5 linked regions of the Canis lupus familiaris genome follow. The protein of the gene in region 4 purifies or fractionates together with the protein of the main gene of each other region. This does not show direct contact. Links are inferred from orthologs where the notes say so. Each region holds a gene or a part of one and is shown on either strand. Other genes may lie near its edges. The genes, in order: RFWD3, TOP3A, SMARCAL1, RPA3 and RFC1.

What was found.
Region 1: the proteins of RPA3 (region 4) and RFWD3 purify together in Homo sapiens (affinity purification with mass spectrometry; 5 studies listed by BioGRID and IntAct, with this or other methods). This does not show direct contact. The link is inferred for Canis lupus familiaris from reciprocal best matches to the Homo sapiens genes RPA3 and RFWD3.
Region 2: the proteins of RPA3 (region 4) and TOP3A purify together in Homo sapiens (affinity purification with mass spectrometry; 3 studies listed by BioGRID and IntAct, with this or other methods). This does not show direct contact. The link is inferred for Canis lupus familiaris from reciprocal best matches to the Homo sapiens genes RPA3 and TOP3A.
Region 3: the proteins of RPA3 (region 4) and SMARCAL1 purify together in Homo sapiens (affinity purification with mass spectrometry; 3 studies listed by BioGRID and IntAct, with this or other methods). This does not show direct contact. The link is inferred for Canis lupus familiaris from reciprocal best matches to the Homo sapiens genes RPA3 and SMARCAL1.
Region 5: the proteins of RPA3 (region 4) and RFC1 purify together in Homo sapiens (affinity purification with mass spectrometry; 3 studies listed by BioGRID and IntAct, with this or other methods). This does not show direct contact. The link is inferred for Canis lupus familiaris from reciprocal best matches to the Homo sapiens genes RPA3 and RFC1.

The regions. Positions count from the first base shown.
Region 1 is NC_049226.1:76,538,547-76,542,062, forward strand, and holds part of RFWD3 (E3 ubiquitin-protein ligase RFWD3), read left to right. Parts: intron 1-210; coding exon 211-733; intron 734-3,516. UniProt on the Homo sapiens protein: E3 ubiquitin-protein ligase required for the repair of DNA interstrand cross-links (ICL) in response to DNA damage. Plays a key role in RPA-mediated DNA damage signaling and repair.
Region 2 is NC_049226.1:41,483,010-41,486,525, forward strand, and holds part of TOP3A (DNA topoisomerase 3-alpha), read left to right. Parts: intron 1-24; coding exon 25-98; intron 99-921; coding exon 922-997; intron 998-1,968; coding exon 1,969-2,077; intron 2,078-3,261; coding exon 3,262-3,405; intron 3,406-3,516. UniProt on the Homo sapiens protein: Releases the supercoiling and torsional tension of DNA introduced during the DNA replication and transcription by transiently cleaving and rejoining one strand of the DNA duplex.
Region 3 is NC_049258.1:23,296,294-23,299,809, reverse strand, and holds part of SMARCAL1 (SWI/SNF-related matrix-associated actin-dependent regulator of chromatin subfamily A-like protein 1), read right to left. Parts: intron 3,100-3,516; coding exon 2,917-3,099; intron 1,782-2,916; coding exon 1,681-1,781; intron 728-1,680; coding exon 631-727; intron 1-630. UniProt on the Homo sapiens protein: ATP-dependent annealing helicase that binds selectively to fork DNA relative to ssDNA or dsDNA and catalyzes the rewinding of the stably unwound DNA. Rewinds single-stranded DNA bubbles that are stably bound by replication protein A (RPA).
Region 4 is NC_049235.1:23,189,020-23,193,030, forward strand, and holds the start of RPA3 (replication protein A 14 kDa subunit), read right to left. Parts: upstream 2,817-4,011; 5' UTR 2,646-2,816; coding exon 2,547-2,645; intron 1,171-2,546; coding exon 1,096-1,170; intron 116-1,095; coding exon 7-115; intron 1-6. UniProt on the Homo sapiens protein: As part of the heterotrimeric replication protein A complex (RPA/RP-A), binds and stabilizes single-stranded DNA intermediates that form during DNA replication or upon DNA stress.
Region 5 is NC_049224.1:73,701,082-73,704,597, reverse strand, and holds part of RFC1 (replication factor C subunit 1), read right to left. Parts: intron 3,188-3,516; coding exon 3,042-3,187; intron 1-3,041. UniProt on the Homo sapiens protein: Subunit of the replication factor C (RFC) complex which acts during elongation of primed DNA templates by DNA polymerases delta and epsilon, and is necessary for ATP-dependent loading of proliferating cell nuclear antigen (PCNA) onto primed DNA.

The sequences.
Region 1 (3,516 bases), on a different chromosome or scaffold from region 4:
GCTCCTCGCAGGGAGCCTGATGCGGGACTTGATCCCAGGATCTTGGATCACGCCCTGAGTCGAAGGCAGATGCTCAACCACTGAGCCATCCAGACGTCCCAAGAATGATCTTAAGCAGAAGTTCTAGAAGACTTAGATATAATTATATCATGGACATATAGCATGTTTTATCTATTTTACTGATACTTTTTATGAATGTTACTTCCCCAGTGATGGCTCACGAAGCAATGGAATATAACCTTCATGGGCAGTTAGACCATCATGTTGCAGAACAGCCTGTTCCTGCTGAAGTGGTCATCAGCCTAGAGGGACCACCCGTGTTCCAGGCTCTACCTGCAGAAGTGGTCATCAGCCAAGAGGGACCACCCGTGCTCCAGGCTCTACCTGCAGAAGTGGTCAGCAGCCAAGAGGGACCACCCCTGCCCCAGCCTGCTCCACACGTGTCTGTTGGCCTGACAGAGGAAGGGGAGCTGTTGGGAGAAGATCGTGTGGAGAGCATTAATCCAGGAGCTTCGGAGGAGCATAGTCAGCGATCTCGTGTTAACCCCCCTGTCCAAGTGTCTTCATTGGATTCGATGAACAGCTTCATCAGTGGGCTGCAGAGACTTCATGGCATGCTGGAATTCCTGAGACCTCCATCAGACCACAACGTGGGACCAGTGAGATCCAGAAGGATGAGAGGATCTTCACGCAGGTCAAGAACTACAGGGTCACAGAGGACAGACAGTACCAGGTAAAAATAATGTTAAAAATCTTGGGATTCGGGATCCCTGGGTGGCTCAGCGGTTTGGCGCCTGCCTTTGGCCCGGGGCGCGATCCTGGAGTCTCGGGATTGAGTCCCGTGTCGGGCTCCCAGCATGGAGCCTGCTTCTCCTTCCTCCTGTGTCTCTGCACACACCCCCCCCCCTCCACCCCAGGTGTCTTATCATAAGTAAATAAATAAATCTTTAAAAAAAAATCTTGGGATTCGTGCCAGATTGGGACTATGAGCCCAGTGCTGCCAAGGTGTGGCACTATGACTTTTGGCAAGTTATATGGCCTTTCTGAACTCCCAATTCCTCACAAGTCAGGTGAAAATAAAAGGTGCTTGCCTTATTTACTCACAAAGTCATTGAGGGATAATTTACCCTGATGTGCTTTGAAAACTAGGTGGTAGTTTATCAGCAACGGTTTCTATAGGGGCTGGCACTTCTTCAGATCATTTGCATATGAAAAAAGTATATTTTGACTTAAAAGTCCACACTCCAGTTACCCAGGTTCCATTGTTCATTGGCATTCCTTGTAACGATGCAGTAGACTTTGGTGCAGTAGACTTTGGAAGACCGGCAGGCTGGACTTAGAGAAGCCTTGTGAAAAGTAAAATGTGAATTAATTTAGGGCTTATCTGACTAAGTGGGGAAACATTCCAGCCCTCCTCATCTCAGAAGGTGTTGCAGAGTTGAAAATAATTTTCTTTCATAGTTTTTCATTTGAACTTTTCTCTGAAAGAACTTAGCTATATCAAGTCTTGACATGGTTATTTTTATAACCACCAGCTATGCCTTGCCTGTTTTTTAACTTCATCCTGCTTTATTTAAAATACTTTATTTCACATTTGGCCTCCTAAATGTTTTCATAACGTTTTAAGAGATTTAACACCATGTTCATTTTATATGCAAAGGAAATTGGACCCTGAGAAAGCCTTTTGTTCAGGGTCAAGGTCGAGTTGATAAGGGAACCTGGATCTGACTCATTTTCTGTGCAGGCAGATAGAGGACACTTCAGTCACATCCATTTGTTTTCTTAACATTATGAAAATAATGAGACAATACTAAAAAGCAGTAACTAGGCCATCTATTGACTATGTCTTGGAAATAAGAAAGCCAATAGAATAATTTGTGTTCTGACTAGGGTAGCTCTGGAATTGGGATTGTGCCTTCTGATCCTCGATTCAGCATCCTTTTCCATGGATTCTGCTGATTGCTGAATGGAGGAGGGAGATGGTGCTGCTTTCCCTCTGGATCTAGTCTCTAGCCTGGTCAGTTCTGGATGTGACCTCTCAGGGATGATGTGCTTAGTCATGTGTTGATAAGAGTTTCAAGGGCATGTAACTGTTATTTTAAGGCATCATTCCCTCTGATTATGAAGGCAGAATAAGATTTCATGTTTGTGTCCTAGGTCAAGGTACCCTGTAGCCGAGTTTGGGAACCCTTTCAAAGTGTGTGGGCTGAGGGTTGAGAGTGATGGCCCCAGGAACTGGCTGACTGCCAAGAGACCTCACCATATTCCTCAGCCTTGGTTGTTCATATACTCATCCATGGGGAGAGGGGAGTTGGGGCGGAGTTGATTACTTCTGTGGGAGACTTGGGAACCCACTCATAGGGGTGTAACACTTAAAAACCAGTTGCCAGTTTACAGAGAGAACTAGAAGTGCCACAGGGATCAAAGTCTCTTTCTGGCATGGGCAGCATGATTCTCCTAAAAGAAATTTCTGATTAGAGTCTAGTCTAGAAGCTAGACTCTAATCAGAAAATTGCTTGATGCATATAGAATCTGTGCTCAGGGACTGGTCTAGATTCTAAATCTAAATTACAGAATTTAGTTGTTAAAGGATATCAGTTGAGCTATTTGACTGACAGTTGTATTTGTCTCTACTAAAGGAATAAGCCTAAAGGGCTAGAGATTGTGTGGTTCAATGAAGAAAACATGGATTCTGGAGCCAGATAAATGTGGCCTTAAAACTTTTTTTCCCCTAAATACTGTGTTGTAAGCAAATTCCACACTAAATTCACAAAAAACAGGAGCTTTTCCTAGTACTGATTGCTTTTTTTTTTTTTTAAGATTTTATTTATTTATTCATGAGAGACACACACACACACACAGAGAGAGAGAGAGAGAGAGAGAGAGAGAGAGGCAGAGACACAGGCAGAGGGAGAAGCAGGCTCCATGCAGGGAGCCCGACACGGGACTCGATCCCAGGACTCCAGGATCATGCCCTGGGCCAAAGGCGGCGCTAAACCGCCCAGCCACCCAGTCATTCCACCTACTGAATTTCTTAACGTGAATTCTTCATTATGGTGTTTGGCACTTACTCACCTGACAGACCCTTTCTGGGTCAGGTGTTGAGAGCCTGAGCCAGGGGGAGCAGCTTTTGCCTCAGACTCCACTGAGAAGCCAAAGTTGGGGGAAGCTGAGTAATGAGATATTTTTCCAAACAGCTTCTCAGCCAAGATCACAAACACCTTTCCTGTTTCTTTGTTTGAGGCTGCTTGATTCTGGCTGTCAGCGTCACTCATTCATCAAAAATTTCTAATATTCCACTATGTGAGAGACTGAACTTTGCCTGGAGATATATTGTGAACAGGACAGATAAGGGTACCTGTTCTCATGGAGCTTATGGAATGTAGGACTACTGAGGGTAAGCAAGGGGCAAGAACTCATTATACTATTATTTAATTCAGAGATGATGAGTGCAGGCAAAGAGGAGGATCTCTTGTTGTGAAGGTTGCACTCCCAGAGAGAAAACCTAGCTCTGTC
Region 2 (3,516 bases), on a different chromosome or scaffold from region 4:
AACTCGAATTTTGTTATCATTCAGAATGTTACCATGGTAATGACTTCAGTTTCTGGACATTTGCTGGCTCACGATTTCCAGATGCAGTTTCGCAAATGGTCAGTACAGTTCCTAGGGGATATTACAGTAAGTTGTGAAATGCTAGAGGAATTTTGAGGCCTGTTGATCTTACCGTAGAGCTTAACAATACTGATGACTGTCTTGGTCCATTTGGGCTGCTCTAATAAAATGTCATCAAGTTGAGGGACACTTATAAACAACAGAAATTTATTTCTCGCAGTTCTGGATGCTAAAAGTAGGAGAGCAGGGTTGCCAGCACAGTCAAGTGAGGGGCCCTCTTCCCCATTGCACCCTGCTGACCTTTCACCGTGTCCTCATCTGGTAGAAGGAGCTAGGGAGCTCTGTGGGGCTTCTTTTATAAGAGCGCTAATCCCATTCATGAGGTACCACTACCTTTATGACATAATCACCTCTGAGAGTCCCCACCTTCCAACAGCATCACATTGGTGTTAGAATCTCAACCTATGTATTTTGAGGGAACAAAAACCATGGAGCCCACAGCAGTGACCTAAGATCAACTGAACCATTGTGAATTTTTGCCATACATTTAGAATAAACCACCTTGAAGTGTATTTCCCTTAAAATAGCCAGACCTATTTTACGTAGTCACTGGATTAACTGATCCTATTGCAGACATTAATGAAAGAGTTCCAGAATTACTATTTAGCTCCTCCAGTTGTCATAGAAAGCACTTAGTGCAGAGGATCATAGCCTTGCTTTTAATCCTCTGGCCTTTTAATGTGGGACCTTTTCTGTTTGGGTTCCATCCATGAGCACACTGGAGCAATTTTTTCTCATTAAAATAGAGGACTTGTCATCTCTGCTGAGGTTGGATGTGTTGTGTTTTCATTTCTTTTCTAGGCAGAGCTGCAATCCCCTTGTCCTCTTTGAAGCAGAAATTGAAAAGTACTGCCCAGAGAATTTTGTAGGCATCAAGGTAGGGTGTTTTGGAAGATGTGTGGCACTGGAGTTGAACAGTTCCTGAGTACAAAATAATTGAACTATGATTTCTGCATTCTGAATGCATTAGAATTTAGAGATCCAGTTTCCCACCAAACTTAGTACCATGATTTTATTTTTTAACATACTTTTTAAAGATTTTATTTATTTATTTGAGAGAGAGAGAAAAAGAGAATGTGAGTGGGGAAGGGGCAGAGGGACAGAGAGAATCCCTAGCAGACTCCCTACTGAGTGTGGAGCCTGGCTTGGGCTGAGATCACAACCCGAGCCGAAACCAGGAGTCAGACACTTAACCGACTGAGTCACCCAGACATCCCAGTAACATTTTAAAAATTACTCCCACTCATATAAATGAGGCCACTTAAACTAAGTAGCCAAGGAACTAAAGTAAGCCTTTTTATATATACTACTTGTTTAAATCCTAGGAATAGTATTGTTAAATTATTAATTCTAGGCTCCAGCCCTAATTAGCACAGAGAGATGACAAAGTGTAAAGGGTCATTTGACAGCAAGTTATGAGTTCTTAAGCAGTCAGGGCACGTATAATTAGTTCACTGCTAATTGGGAAACCTTCTTGGGGGTAAAACTCAATTTAGGGATTTCTTTTTCTTTTTCCTTTTCTCCCCCCCCCCTTTTTTTTTTTTACCAGGATACCATCAGAGCCATGAGAGTTACAAGTATATGTTAGAACTGAATTTTAGGTTTTGTCATACTAGGGTAGTTGTATTAAAGCCTCAATCTAGAAGCTCACTTATGGGTCTTTGATTCTAGGTCGAAGGATTATACTAGTGGCCTTGGCATCCTTAGAGGTTCCCCCAGATCTCTCCCTTCTCTCCAATTTGCCACATTCCAAGAACGTCCCTAAGGTTCAGTCAGATCTCTTTAGCGTAGAAGTGTCAAGTGATAGTGATTGTGTTCTCACTGCCCTTTCCCCACTGGGAATTTTAGAAAACTCTGCAGCGAGAGACTCAGCAATGCCAGGCCCTGGTGATCTGGACCGACTGTGACAGAGAAGGTGAAAATATCGGGTTTGAAATTATCCACGTATGCAGGGCTGGTAAGTGCTGTGACTTTTGAGTTTCTCCACTTTGGAACCACAGAGGTAGATGATTCCCCTGAGAGAGTGGGCTGTGGCTTAGTTTTTCCCTGGAGAGTCTCCCCTCTGGATCCATTCGTTCTTACCAGCTCTGTGTCTTTGGAGCCCCAGCTTTCAGGAAAGTCAGGCCAATCTGACAGTTGTTAGGGCTGCATCAGGACTAAATGAGTTAACCAGTGGCTCAGACCCTGTAGCCCATGGCTTGTTACATATTAGGTCCAAGTACATGGCCAGCTCCTTGAGAGCAAAGACTTTATGTATTTTATTCCTTTATTTATTTATTTTTTTAAAGATTTTATTTATTTATTCATAGGGATGCAGAGAGAGAGTGAGAGAGAGAGGCAGAGACACAGGCAGAGGGAGAAGCAGGCTCCATGCAGGGAGCCTGATGTGGGACTTGATCCAGGGTCTCCAGGATCACGCCCTGGGCTGCAGGCGGCACTAAACCACTGCGCCACCGAGGCTGCCCCTATTGTATTCCTTTAAAGTTACATTTTGAACACGTGCAAGAGAACATATATGCCGATTATACAGAACAAAGAATCATTCTGGAATGAGGTATTAATTTGCTGTATTCTTTGTACAAAGCCTGTTGTTGAAACCAATTTAAATGCCTCGAACAAGGCCAATGATTTCAGGTAACTTCAAGGAAGTGATGCACAGTCCATTCTCAGGCTTCAGATAGTGGATGGTTTCTATTTTCCCTAAATGTGTTTGTGCTGAAACTGTAATGACTCCTGGGAATTTAAGTATGTTAACTTTCAAGAAAGCGTAGGTGTCCCATGTTATTTCTTTGTCAGGATGTGAAATTCCTCCTTTGGACCTTTTCATTGACAATGTTTTAATTTTATCTAAAAGTCTGGGAGAGCAAGTGAGATATTAGGATCTTTTTTTTTTCTTTTTTTTTTTTTTTCTTTTTCTTTTTCTTTTTTTGAGATATTAGGATCTTGAGAGGCTCACCAAGAGAATAGCTGAAATTCACTTGAATTGCTAAAACTCACACTGCTGTTATTTCTGACAACACTAAGTTTAGCGGTAATAATGACGTTTTCCCATTAGGTGGTTACCATGCTGTCAGTTTAACCTAATCAGAAAATTGGGTGCAGCAATGTGGTTTGACTTTAACCTTGGTGACTGTTCCACAGTGAAGCCAAACCTGCAGGTGCTGAGAGCCCGTTTCTCTGAGATCACCCCCCGAGCTGTCCGGGTGGCCTGTGAAAACCTGACTGAGCCCGATCAGAGAGTGAGCGATGCCGTGGATGTGAGGCAGGAGTTGGACCTGAGGATTGGTGAGCAGCTGGCCAACTCCTTGTGGGGGTCCATGTAGCAGAGTGGATGTTGGGCTATGGCACCAAGATTTTTGTGTAAGTATGTGCAGGTAACTTTGATCTTACGATCCA
Region 3 (3,516 bases), on a different chromosome or scaffold from region 4:
TTAAGAATCCCTTAAAATTAAGTCTCCTTCTTTTCAAAGGGCATACAATAACAAAGGCTCTGTGAAAATATTTACCATTCAATTGAATTAGAGTTCTTTAAAAAGCTTAAAAATAAGGTTGTTTCAAGTTAGCTTATTAACTGTTTATGAGGATAATTTATACTCTACATTTAAAAATATGATATTTGTGGTTTCTGGCTGAGCCAGAGGAGCATGCCAACTCTTGATCTGGGGGTCATGAGTTTAAGCCCCATGTTGGGTGTAGAGGTTACTTAAAATATGAATTAAAAAAAATAAAAATATGATCTCTAAGACTTATCTCGATCATTACATTTGAAAGGAAGCATTTAGTTATTACATCAATGTAAATGAAAGATCAAATCCTCAGACTCTCTAGTCTTCCTGTCACTCAAAGATATTGCTGATTTTACTCAGACTCTGATTTTGGGCAGTTCCATGAGAAGGAGAAGACACTTGGTTTTCAGAGGAGCTACCTGAAGGCCACCATTCTGCATGAGGCTGAGTGAAATCCCCAGGAGTGATCCACTTCTCTTTCAGGACCCAAGGGCTGAGGAGACAACTCAATAGCTCCCCCCACCCCAGTGGCAAGGAGCCATTTGCTGGTGTTACCTTGTAGAAGTAATTAGGAGCTTCTGTCATTTCTGAAAAATTGGTCTCAGAAAGTCCGGCTTCACCCAGAACTTTAATCTTCTCTTGAATTAGGGGCCTGTTGGGGAAAAAAGAGCTGCGATGAATACAAACTGCACAGAACCAGTGGGATGAAAAAGAGATCACCCTCCTTGTTTTTATGGGACTGAGGCATGCTGTTTCACTTCTTTGGAACGCTCAAGGTACAAACACCCAACCTAAAATATTTGTCTCTTCTGTAAACCAATTTAGCGTTTGCATCATTAGGTTCAAAATTCTTTCTACTGGAAGATGTGGAGAAAATAGATGTCTCATTACAACAAAATTCTGAACCTGGTGCTGAAAATGGCCCCGTGGTTATGAGCTGCCCAATGATCAAATCAACAAATCCAAAGATGTAGGAGTAGGGACAACCTACACATGTGACAAAGGTAAGATCCCTTAGTCACAAGGCTGGAAACAGAAATGAGTAGTAGAAACTAATGAGGTAATCAAGAAACTTAGTATTAGGAAAGGGGTAAGTATGACTAGGAAGGAGCATTTGGAGACTTTTTGCTTAGGTAACAGACATGAACCCCAGGGTTGAAAAATTTTACCCTAGTTCTAAGGAAGCCCCATGTGGCCCAGGGTGAGCCACTTCCTCCCAGTGGTCAGCTGCAGCACTGTATGATGGCCTTATTTTACCGATACGTGCCATGAAGGAGCAGAGGGCAGTATGACCATGTCTCAGCAGAGTCTTCATAGCTGGGACGGAGTGTCTTACAAGCAAACCTGCACATATACTTCTTCCCCCCTCCCTTGTCTCAGGACACTGGGAAAGGAGCCACATCCCCTTATCCCTCATGCACCCAGCAAGTCATGAGTGAATGCTGTGAAGGAGGCCCGACATGGTCATGGTGGAAGTGGGAGGGCATTACTCCTGGGTCTTCTGCATGGGTCCCTGAAGACATCAGCAAGAGCAGAAGCAGTTAGGGAGCGAAGGAAATACATCACAGGCGTCAACCCTTGCTTAACCCCAGTGGCCAGCCATACCAGAGGTAGTCATCAGCTGTGCCTTTCGCCACGAGGTAGTGGATGCTCACAGAGCTCGACTGTCCGATTCGGTGCACCCGGTCCTCAGCCTGAAGCAGCACCTGTGAGGTACAGGGATCAGGATGTGTGCAGGCCAAGGCCTGAAGGGGCTCAGTCCACCACAGCAGGCAGTCCCCTGCCCCCGAGCCCACCACACCCTTCTTCCGAAAGGACTTCACTCCATGACCCAAGTCAGCAGGCTGAGAACCTCTACCTTCAAGGAAGCTGTCACCTAACATAAGAGAGAATCAAACAAAACTAAAGTTCTGGGGTAATCTAGAATCTATAGCCAGACAGCTTTGGGCAGAGCCCTAGGTGCCACAAGGAACGAACAGCAAGCTCTGACCTGCCAGCAGGCTATGCTGAAGGGCAAATGAAGGAAGCCTGGCACATTTCCATTCTTCTTGCCATGTAAGAAACCATTACCTTGTAAATAAACAAACATATCACAACCAAGGGAGAGGCCCTATATGATTAGGGGTAGTGTGGCTCTTTAATACGGCGGTAAGCCCTACAATAGATAACAAAGCCCAAGAGCATTGTTTCCATCCCATATGCTTTCAGCCTAGAAGTCTACGTGCCCTATGTGTGGCCAGTGACATATATCTGCTATCACAGCTCTCTGCTCATCAGATGAGGCCAGTGGACACAAAGACCACGTTCAGGGAACACCCAGAAAGGTCGCCTGTCATGGCTGCATCGGCTAAGCAGCTTGCAATGATGGCTAATAGATGGCACAGGCTGGAAGCCCAGAGGCCTGGGCTGGGGTTGCTGTAGCCACAGGCTCCCCTTTGGGGACAGCTGTGCATGTGAGCTCTCTGTGCCCCAATTTCCCCTCAGAGGAAGGACTCCTAAGATTCCTTCCAGCCTTCTAAAACTTCAGTATTTCCTTCCATAACATGGAGTCGATACTCCTACTACTTAGGAGACTGCTGTGAAGATCTAATAACTAGCCAACAGATATGCAAGGCTTCACTTCTTTTAAGACTGGTAACTGGGGAAAAAAAAAAAAAAAAAGACTGGTAATTGGGAAGTATAAAACATGTTTCTGAGGCCTAACAGAAACAGATGGAAGAAAACAAAACTGGTGCTAGGGAGAGCACCCAGATACCTACTCTGCCCAGACTGACGCTCTTGCTCCTTCTGCCCCATAGCCACACGCACACCCGGGAGATTCGAGTCCCCTGTGTCCCTTACCCCTGGATTCCAAAAGAGCTCAGCAAACACCACCAGGTCAGCCGAGGTGAAGGTGAGGCCCATGTTGGCAGCGGTGATGGACAGCACGGCCACAGCGTGCTTCTCGAACAGCTGGAACTGCTGGCACAGGTCCTCTCGGTCCGCCGAGGAGGTGGAGCCGTCGATGTGGATGTGTGGCACGTGCTGCAGGGACAAGGACGGGAAGCGAGGTGGGCTGCACCAGTGCCTGGGGCTCGGCAGCCGCGGCTCCGAGGACAGAGCCACGCTGCTGTTCTAACTCAGATCACGGGTCTGTCACTGCTTTCACAGCTTCTTGTCTTTTTGTTTCACATTGAGTTTTGTGTTGATGGGATTGTAGATGCACATTAGTTGAAGCAAAAATACAGAGATTCCTTGAACATCTGGCCCACTTTCTCCCAGTGGTAATATTTTGTTAAACTATAGTAAATCACAACCAGGATGCTGACTTTGATACAACGTACTGATCTCATGCCCATGTCCTCAGTGTTACTTAAACTTGCATGTGTGTGTTCTACACAGTGTTATCACTGTGGGTTTCCACATTATCTCCTTCACAGTCAAGACACTGAACAGAGCTAC
Region 4 (4,011 bases):
ATTTACCGAAAGGATGGTTATCTTCTTTAAACTGGACATATGATGCACACATAATGGTTGCCTTGGCCGTTACTCTTCCAACTACTTCCACGATTCCAGAGATTTCTTCATCAAGCTAACACACAAAGAACAAATTGTCAACTTGGTGTTGTCACATTTTTGGTTGATAACTGGGAAAATTGTTACAATTTACTAATTTTTCATTTCATGTGACAAAAACATCTTAAAATTTATCAATGCAAAAACTGAACCGTAAGTTGTTAAAAATGTTTGAATACTTAATGTCAGCATGTCCAGTCCTATTACCTTTAGCAGTAGCTTCAGGTCCAAAGATCCAGTTAAGTGTTTAGTTGAAGACAAAATCACTTAAAGATAGTGAGAATGTCCACCATTTCTACAAGGAATAGTTTGTTTAAAAGAACCCATTGAAAGGAAACTTCTATTTTCTATCTCTGTATTCTGTATATGTTAATCAAGTAGCACATGGATTTGTCTTCATAAAAAAAAAAAGAAAAAATTTTTGAGTACAATAAATGTAAAATCTTAGAACAAGTGATAACTGAAGGTACATGTAAACAAAAATAAAAAATACAATTTTAAAAATGTAAAATTCTTGAGGAAGGATAAAAGGATTTAAACAAAAGATTTTTTTAAAGATTTTATTTATTTATTCATGAGAGACACACAGAGAGAGAGAGGCAGAGACACAGGCAGAGGGAGAAGCAGGCTCCATGCAGGGAGCCCAATGTGGGACTCGATCCCAGGTCTCCAGGATCATGCCCTGGGCCGAAGGCAGGCGCCAAACCAGTGAGCCACCCAGGGATCCCACAAAAGATTCTTTTAATGTGATTTTGTGGTCTTTCATAGGAATAGGAATTATCACCCAGTTAAGGGATGTATTAAAAAATCATGGAGCCCAAAGAATTACTGGTTAGAAATGTAAAGGGATATAAAATGTAAGAAGAGGAGCTAAGTTTAATTTTAGAGCAGAGAAGTTTTATAAGCTGGTCCTTTATCCATCTACTCCAAGAATCAGAAATATCAACAAGATACAGAATAAACTACAAGATACATAGAATTAATACTTAAACATACGGGCTCCATCAACTCAATGGTTCCATTTTTTCCTTCTCCATCAGAAAGAATAAACATTTTTCCAGTGGGATGAATCTAAAAGAGAAACACAGTATTAAAAAAAACCAACCACATAAACAAAACAAACTTTAAAAATCTCATTAAAATAAAAATATTAAAAGTTTGACAGAAGATAAGCAAATTGTCCCAAACATATTTAGTCAATGCATACAAATCAACTGTTTTTGAACAAAACCTGGGGCCCCTGGATGGCTCAGTGGTTGAGCCTCTGCCTTTGGCTCAGGTCCTGATCCTAGGGTCCTGGGATGGAGTCCCCCAGCAGGCTTCTCACAGGGAGCTGCTTCTCCTTCTGCCTGTGTCTCTGGCTCTTTCTTTGTGTCTCTCATGAATGAATGAATGAATGAATGAATAAATAAATAAATAAATCTGGCAACCCTGTGCTAACAACAAATTAAAGGGGATCCATCCTAACGGTGGGATCTTCCAGTATTCATGAGTTAAACAGTATGTATTACACCACAGGGTGTGTTTTAAAAATTACACCTGCGGGGGGTGGGGTGGGGGTGGTTCCTGCTTGGTTAGGTCCTAGAGCCTGGCAGTATTAACGTCAGGGTGGTGAGTTTGAGCTCTACCTTGAGGGTAAAGATTACTTAAAAAAAAAAAAATTAAGCATGATGAAGTAAAGAGAACTGGTTGTCAGAAGACTTGGGTTCTACTACAGATAGTTGTAAAGAGTGCGGTCAGATCTGGTTTGAAGCTGTGGCCTTAAGCAATTAACCATACACTACTCCTACCCAGTTTCCCCTACCTGCGGGGTCGAGCAACACCTATTTCAGGATCAAGGCTGGAATGAGCTGCTAAGAGTTTACCCTAGATCCCCCCCGCCCCGCCCCCCCCTCCCCCCCAAGCTTTCTCGGTTCACGGGTTCCCAAGCTTTGGGCCTGCCGGTCATCAGTCGGGTGAAGGTGCTGCACTCTAACACCGGCATAAGCAAACAGACTGCTGTGGGGTCTGGAAGGGACGATCGAAGAAAGTTCATGGCGAAGGGACTTGAACGAGAAAACGAAGTTTGAGGAAAGACAGAACTGCATGACGAGCAGAGCAGTTGAAACGTCTGGCTATCTAAGACACGGAGAGTCAGGTCTCTAGTTTTCTTCTCGTTATCTACAAAACAGGGGCCAGAGTGGAGGGCGCTAGGATTAGAACGCAGCGCTTTCGAAAACGTCACGACGCCGCGCCATAAAACTGGCGCCAAAATGGGGCTGCAGTGCCTAAAAAGAGCGCAAAAAGTCCCCTTGCGTCAAACGAAGCACCTAGGAGCGCAGCGATGCTCCACGGCCCGTCCTCCTGCACCCTCCCTTGCCACCCTCAGGCTGCCGCCCCGGCGGCCACGGGGCCCCCCTCGTCCCCCCGGTGCAAAGCAGGGAGCCCAGGGCAGCGACGGCGCGCACCTTTTCCAGCCTCCCCACGAAGCAGACCGGCTTGTCGATGAACTGAGCTAGCATGCTGGCATTGATGCGCGACTTGGGCAACTCCAGGATGTCCACCATGGCTGCGGCGCGAGCCCCGCGGCCGGCAGGAAACCGACGACCCAAGCGGCGCGCCCTGCGGCGACCAGGGGGCGCAGGACGCCGGCGCCAATCGGCGGGGGCCGGCACTCTCCCTCCACCAATCAAAGGCGCGGAAATTGCGATCGCGATCGCGTAGCCCCCGGAGCGGCCCCGGCAGGGAGGGCCGCTTCCGGAAGTGGGGATCGGCTGCCTAGCGACGCGCGGCGTCCCGGAAGTTGCCCGGGTCCTCCGCGGACTGGGCCGCGGAGGCGGGGCTTGGACGGGGCGGGTCGGCGGCTGCCGCCCGGCGAGATCCCGGAAGCAGGCTGTTGGGCTCCGGTGCGGTGGCGGCGGGGGACTGCGGCGCAGCCTCAGGTAGCTCTTCTCGCGGGACGCGCCGCAACCGCGCTGTTTCCCTTGCTCCCCGTCCGTCGACGGATGCGGAAGAGAGAGGCGGGACTCGGGTCCTGCCCTGCCGCGGCTTCTCGGTGCTGCGCACCGGCTCTTCGCGGTTCCCCGCCTCCCTCCCCGCTTCCCGGGTCTGCGTGGGGAGCGCGGGGTTCGTGCTGCAGTCGAGGGATCGGGCGTGTTTTGACACCGGCCCCTCCTGGGGACGGCAGGCGGGGTCGCCGGTGACCCGTCACTGCCTCTGTCGGGCTCCTGCCGCTCACCGGCAGAGGGTCTGTGACTTCACGGCTCAAGCTGCGTCACTTGCCCTTCTGTCCCTCACCTGTTAGGCAGAAGGGCTCACCTGATTATTTCTACGACCCTTTCTAGCCCTGACAGCCTGGCCGCCCTAAGGACGTGAGACCTCCTCCGAGTTAGCAACAAACTAGCTTTTGGGAATGGGTTGTGGTTGGGGGCGGGGGGCGGGGGGAGGATCACCGAGCTGGGAGAGGAGACGAATTTAAAGAATTGTTAGGTCCTGGACCGGTGAGCTCCTCCTTGAGATATGATTTCCCTATCAAAAAACGAAGGGGTTAGATAGCAAGATCGTTTTTGCAAAATCCCTGCGAAGTTTTTGCCCATGTGGTTCACGGACCCGTCCTAACTTCCCGGTGATGTTCCCCCCGTTGCTCCTCGCGCCCCAGGACTTGGAGGCCGGGAAGGTCACCTGTTTCAGGGACATTCGGGAGGAGGGGGGATTCTTGAATCTGTCGCTGGTTCATGTTTTTGTTTTTGTTTTTGTTTTGTAGGTTTGGGGACTTTTTTGCTGGGATTGGTACCGCCTTGCCAGGAATTTTCTAGAATGAACGCTCATTAAAAAATGGGGGGAAACCAACAACTTTTCATTTGGAAAATGAGTGTGGATTTTCCTAAATCCTCCAGGTTGTCACTATTCAAATTTAGGTACTAGACGGAGTCT
Region 5 (3,516 bases), on a different chromosome or scaffold from region 4:
CTTTAATAATGCCCAATGTAAAAAAAAAAAAAAAAAAAAAAAAAAAAAATAATGCCCAGTGTAATGTCTACTATTTAAATCAGCTGGTAGAAAAAAAATAAAAATAAAAATAAATCAGCTGGTAGAGAAAGCCTAGCACTCACTACAACATCAGGATAATGGATACAGACCAGTGTGCTCAAAGGGAATGGATTTCCTACTTATCTGCATCAGTGAATGAAAAACACAAATGTAGGTTCTACTTCCAACCTACTCTCAAGGCCTGGGCAACAATAAGACTTCTATGTGCTCATACTCATTATAACCAAATATTACTCATTCCCAGTTCCAAATATTACAAGCATCGGGAAAAGGCAGTGAGATTTCCTACCTCAAGTACCAGTGCTACTTCCTACATGAGGGCTTGTAACACCATTTGATCTCTGATTATAACACGCAAAATTATATATGAATGTTTCCCTCATATTTCCTAATATGAGGTTACTCCGAAATCTTTAGTTCTAGAGCAAGGCTTTCCCCAAACTTAGAAAACTGCCGAAAATGTCCCTGCAGAATCACAAGGTGGTCCACACTTGTGAGAGGAAGGCTTCAGGAAAAAGTCTCGCATCTGCTGAGAACAATGCTATCATGAAATGACTTTCTCACTCACTCTTAAATATGGTCACTCAAAACTAGAACAAAATGCCACCAATCTAAACCTTTCCAATCCAGCTGCTTCCATCATCAAATGAGGAAACAAGAAACCTCAAAAGTTGCTGGGCTTCAGAGCCCATAAACATTTTTAAATTATTAATGGGCCCTGCTATTGCCTTTAGGTAACTGAATATGAAGAGTTCTCTTGATCAGAAATCTAGAACCCTGCTCCTGTCAAAGAATCCAAAAACTCGTATTTTAAATTCACCCGTTTCCTCTAGATTCAGTAGTCTTCCATAACCAAGCACTATTAGTGCTTAAAGACAAGCCCTAAGCCACAGTGCCTACAAAAATCATGAAACCTTTCTCAAAAGTATTCTCTCATATTTTGTTAATTACTGTTACCTTCTACTTAGAATCACAGAAAATACCTCTAGAAAAGTCTAAAGGTATCATCTAGTGTTCCTAAATCAAGGGTTCTTAACCTCAGAAATCTGTAATTCCTCTAGCATTATTTGTACTTTACTGCCTTTGGGATTAATAAAAATCAAAGAGCTTTCAGATTCTCAATGGCATCTATCACCCTAACTAGAACTAATACTAAAAGTACTATTTTGTACTTCCATTTTTAAAAATAAACTGAGATCTATAAAAGTTCAAGGACTTAGGGTTAAAAATTAAATAGGAAGGTCCTAATTTATTCTAAAAATTCTGAATTCATTATAGATGTCCTTTGATGATGATAATGTCCTGTATATGATTCATTAAGGAACATTCATGGAGCAATTTAATGTGCTGGATGAGTAGGCCTCAGTTCCTATCACCAGATATGTTCGGTCTAACAGGAAAAGGGGACAGACATACAAAAGCACAGCCACAAAACAAGATGGAAGTCCAATGCCAATGATCTATGAAAACGGTGGGGGCATCAAAGATGAATACCTACCACCAGGGCACAGGGATGCATCACCTTTTTTAAAAGCAGAGGGCAGGGAGTAGAAAAGAGCTTAGAGCCAGGCCTTGCACTTTGACCACGAGCAGTGGGGAAAGCAACCCCTTCCAGTTTATAGAGGCCATAGACATCCCTTGGCTCATGGTCTCTTTTCCCATCTTCAAAGCCAACAATGTAACATCTTAGAATCTCTTTCCCTCTCTGACTAGATACTGCTGTCTCTCTTTTATTTCTTTTTGGTAAAGATCCTTGTAATTACACTGTGCGCCCAGATAATCCAGGAGATTCTTTGCATCCTAAGACAGCAATAAATGTGTGTTATTTTAAACCATTAAGGGTTTTTTTTTTAAAGATTTTATTTATTTGACAGAGAGAGAGAGAGAAGAGAGCGTGGCAGACAGAAGAGAAGCAGGCTCCCTGCTGAGCAGGCAGCCCAATGTGGGGCTCCATCCCAGGAGCCCGGGATCATGACCTAAGCTGAAGGCAGACTCTTAACTGCCTGAGCCACACAGGTACCCCTAAACCATTAAATTCTTAGCAATTTGTTACAGCAACAATAGGAAACTAATACAAGAGTGGCAAAAAAAAGCGCCATGCTATAGGCTAGGAAGAGGGAACATAGTCAGAATTTTATAGGAACAGTAGAAAGGAAGCATTTCAGTTCAGCTTCAAACAGAAGTTAAGAGTGGACCAATGTTAACGAATATTCCCTCCAGAGATCAGAAAAAAAAAGAAGACTACTCAAGTAGTTCTTTGTGGTTAAAAATAAATTCCTAAAGTTCACTGAATATTTGGGTGTGTGCACATTTTCTAAGTTTTTCAACTTTAACAAAATTGTACCAAATAACAAGAATTTTTGGACTTCATTAAACTTCTCCAAACTTCTTGGTTTTTCAACTTTAACAAAATTGTACCAAATAACAAGAATTTTTGGACTCCATTAAACTTCTCCATTAAACACTGATTTTTCAATCATCTGCACATCTGCCTCCTGTTGTTATATGCTAAACTGTGTCCCCGATCATAAATGACTAGTTCAGTTTATTACTAGGATAGGTAAAAACTAGTTCATTTATTTAAATAGTCTTTCTTCCTATTAAATTATTTGGAAGCTGAGACATTATGTATCCCTACAAGTAATAGGTGTAGTCACAATAATAAATAGTAGCACTACCTCAGATTTACATAGCTTCAATATTTATCTTAAAATTATGGCACATCTACCAACTGTGCTCATCTTCAAAGTATCCTTTTAAATGATAAAACAAGTATTATACCTATTATAGATAATAAAACTCAGGCCCACAATATATAAGGAACTTATCCAGGGTCATTTATCTAGTTAGCAATAAAATCACAACTAAAACACAAATCTTTTAATTTACACTATCCTCACTGGATAAAAGCTAAATATGCTATACTGATAAAATGCCAGACATGAACTAATACCACTTACCTGAGACTCATGTGCAGTGCTAGATCCTGTACAATACGATCGTGTTTGCCGGTAGATGAGTGCTTCCCTAACCAGCTTGGGAAAGTAGGAAACTGGGTCATGTACCCCCTCATTAGCTCTCCAGGAAGAACACTGGCATAAATGGCCTTAAAAAAAAAAAAAAAATCAATTGCAGTCCACAATCTGAATTCAGTACCAAGCTGCTTCCTACACAGCTGTTGGCTTCTGAGTCGTTTCTGGCAAACGAAGCCACACTGTCCTAGGCACCTAATTCCAGGGCATCACACCCCTTCCCTCTGTCTCTCATCTGTTGGTAGGGGAAGCTACTCCCAGAGAAAACAACAGATAAGTCCAAAACACGTTATGGCCCTGAGAGAGATCTTGCTAACTAGGTCTCCGCACCAACTGACCCCAAGAAACTTGATGCACAAAGGATTTTAAGAGGAACATGACTGTCTTTAACATAAACTATTAA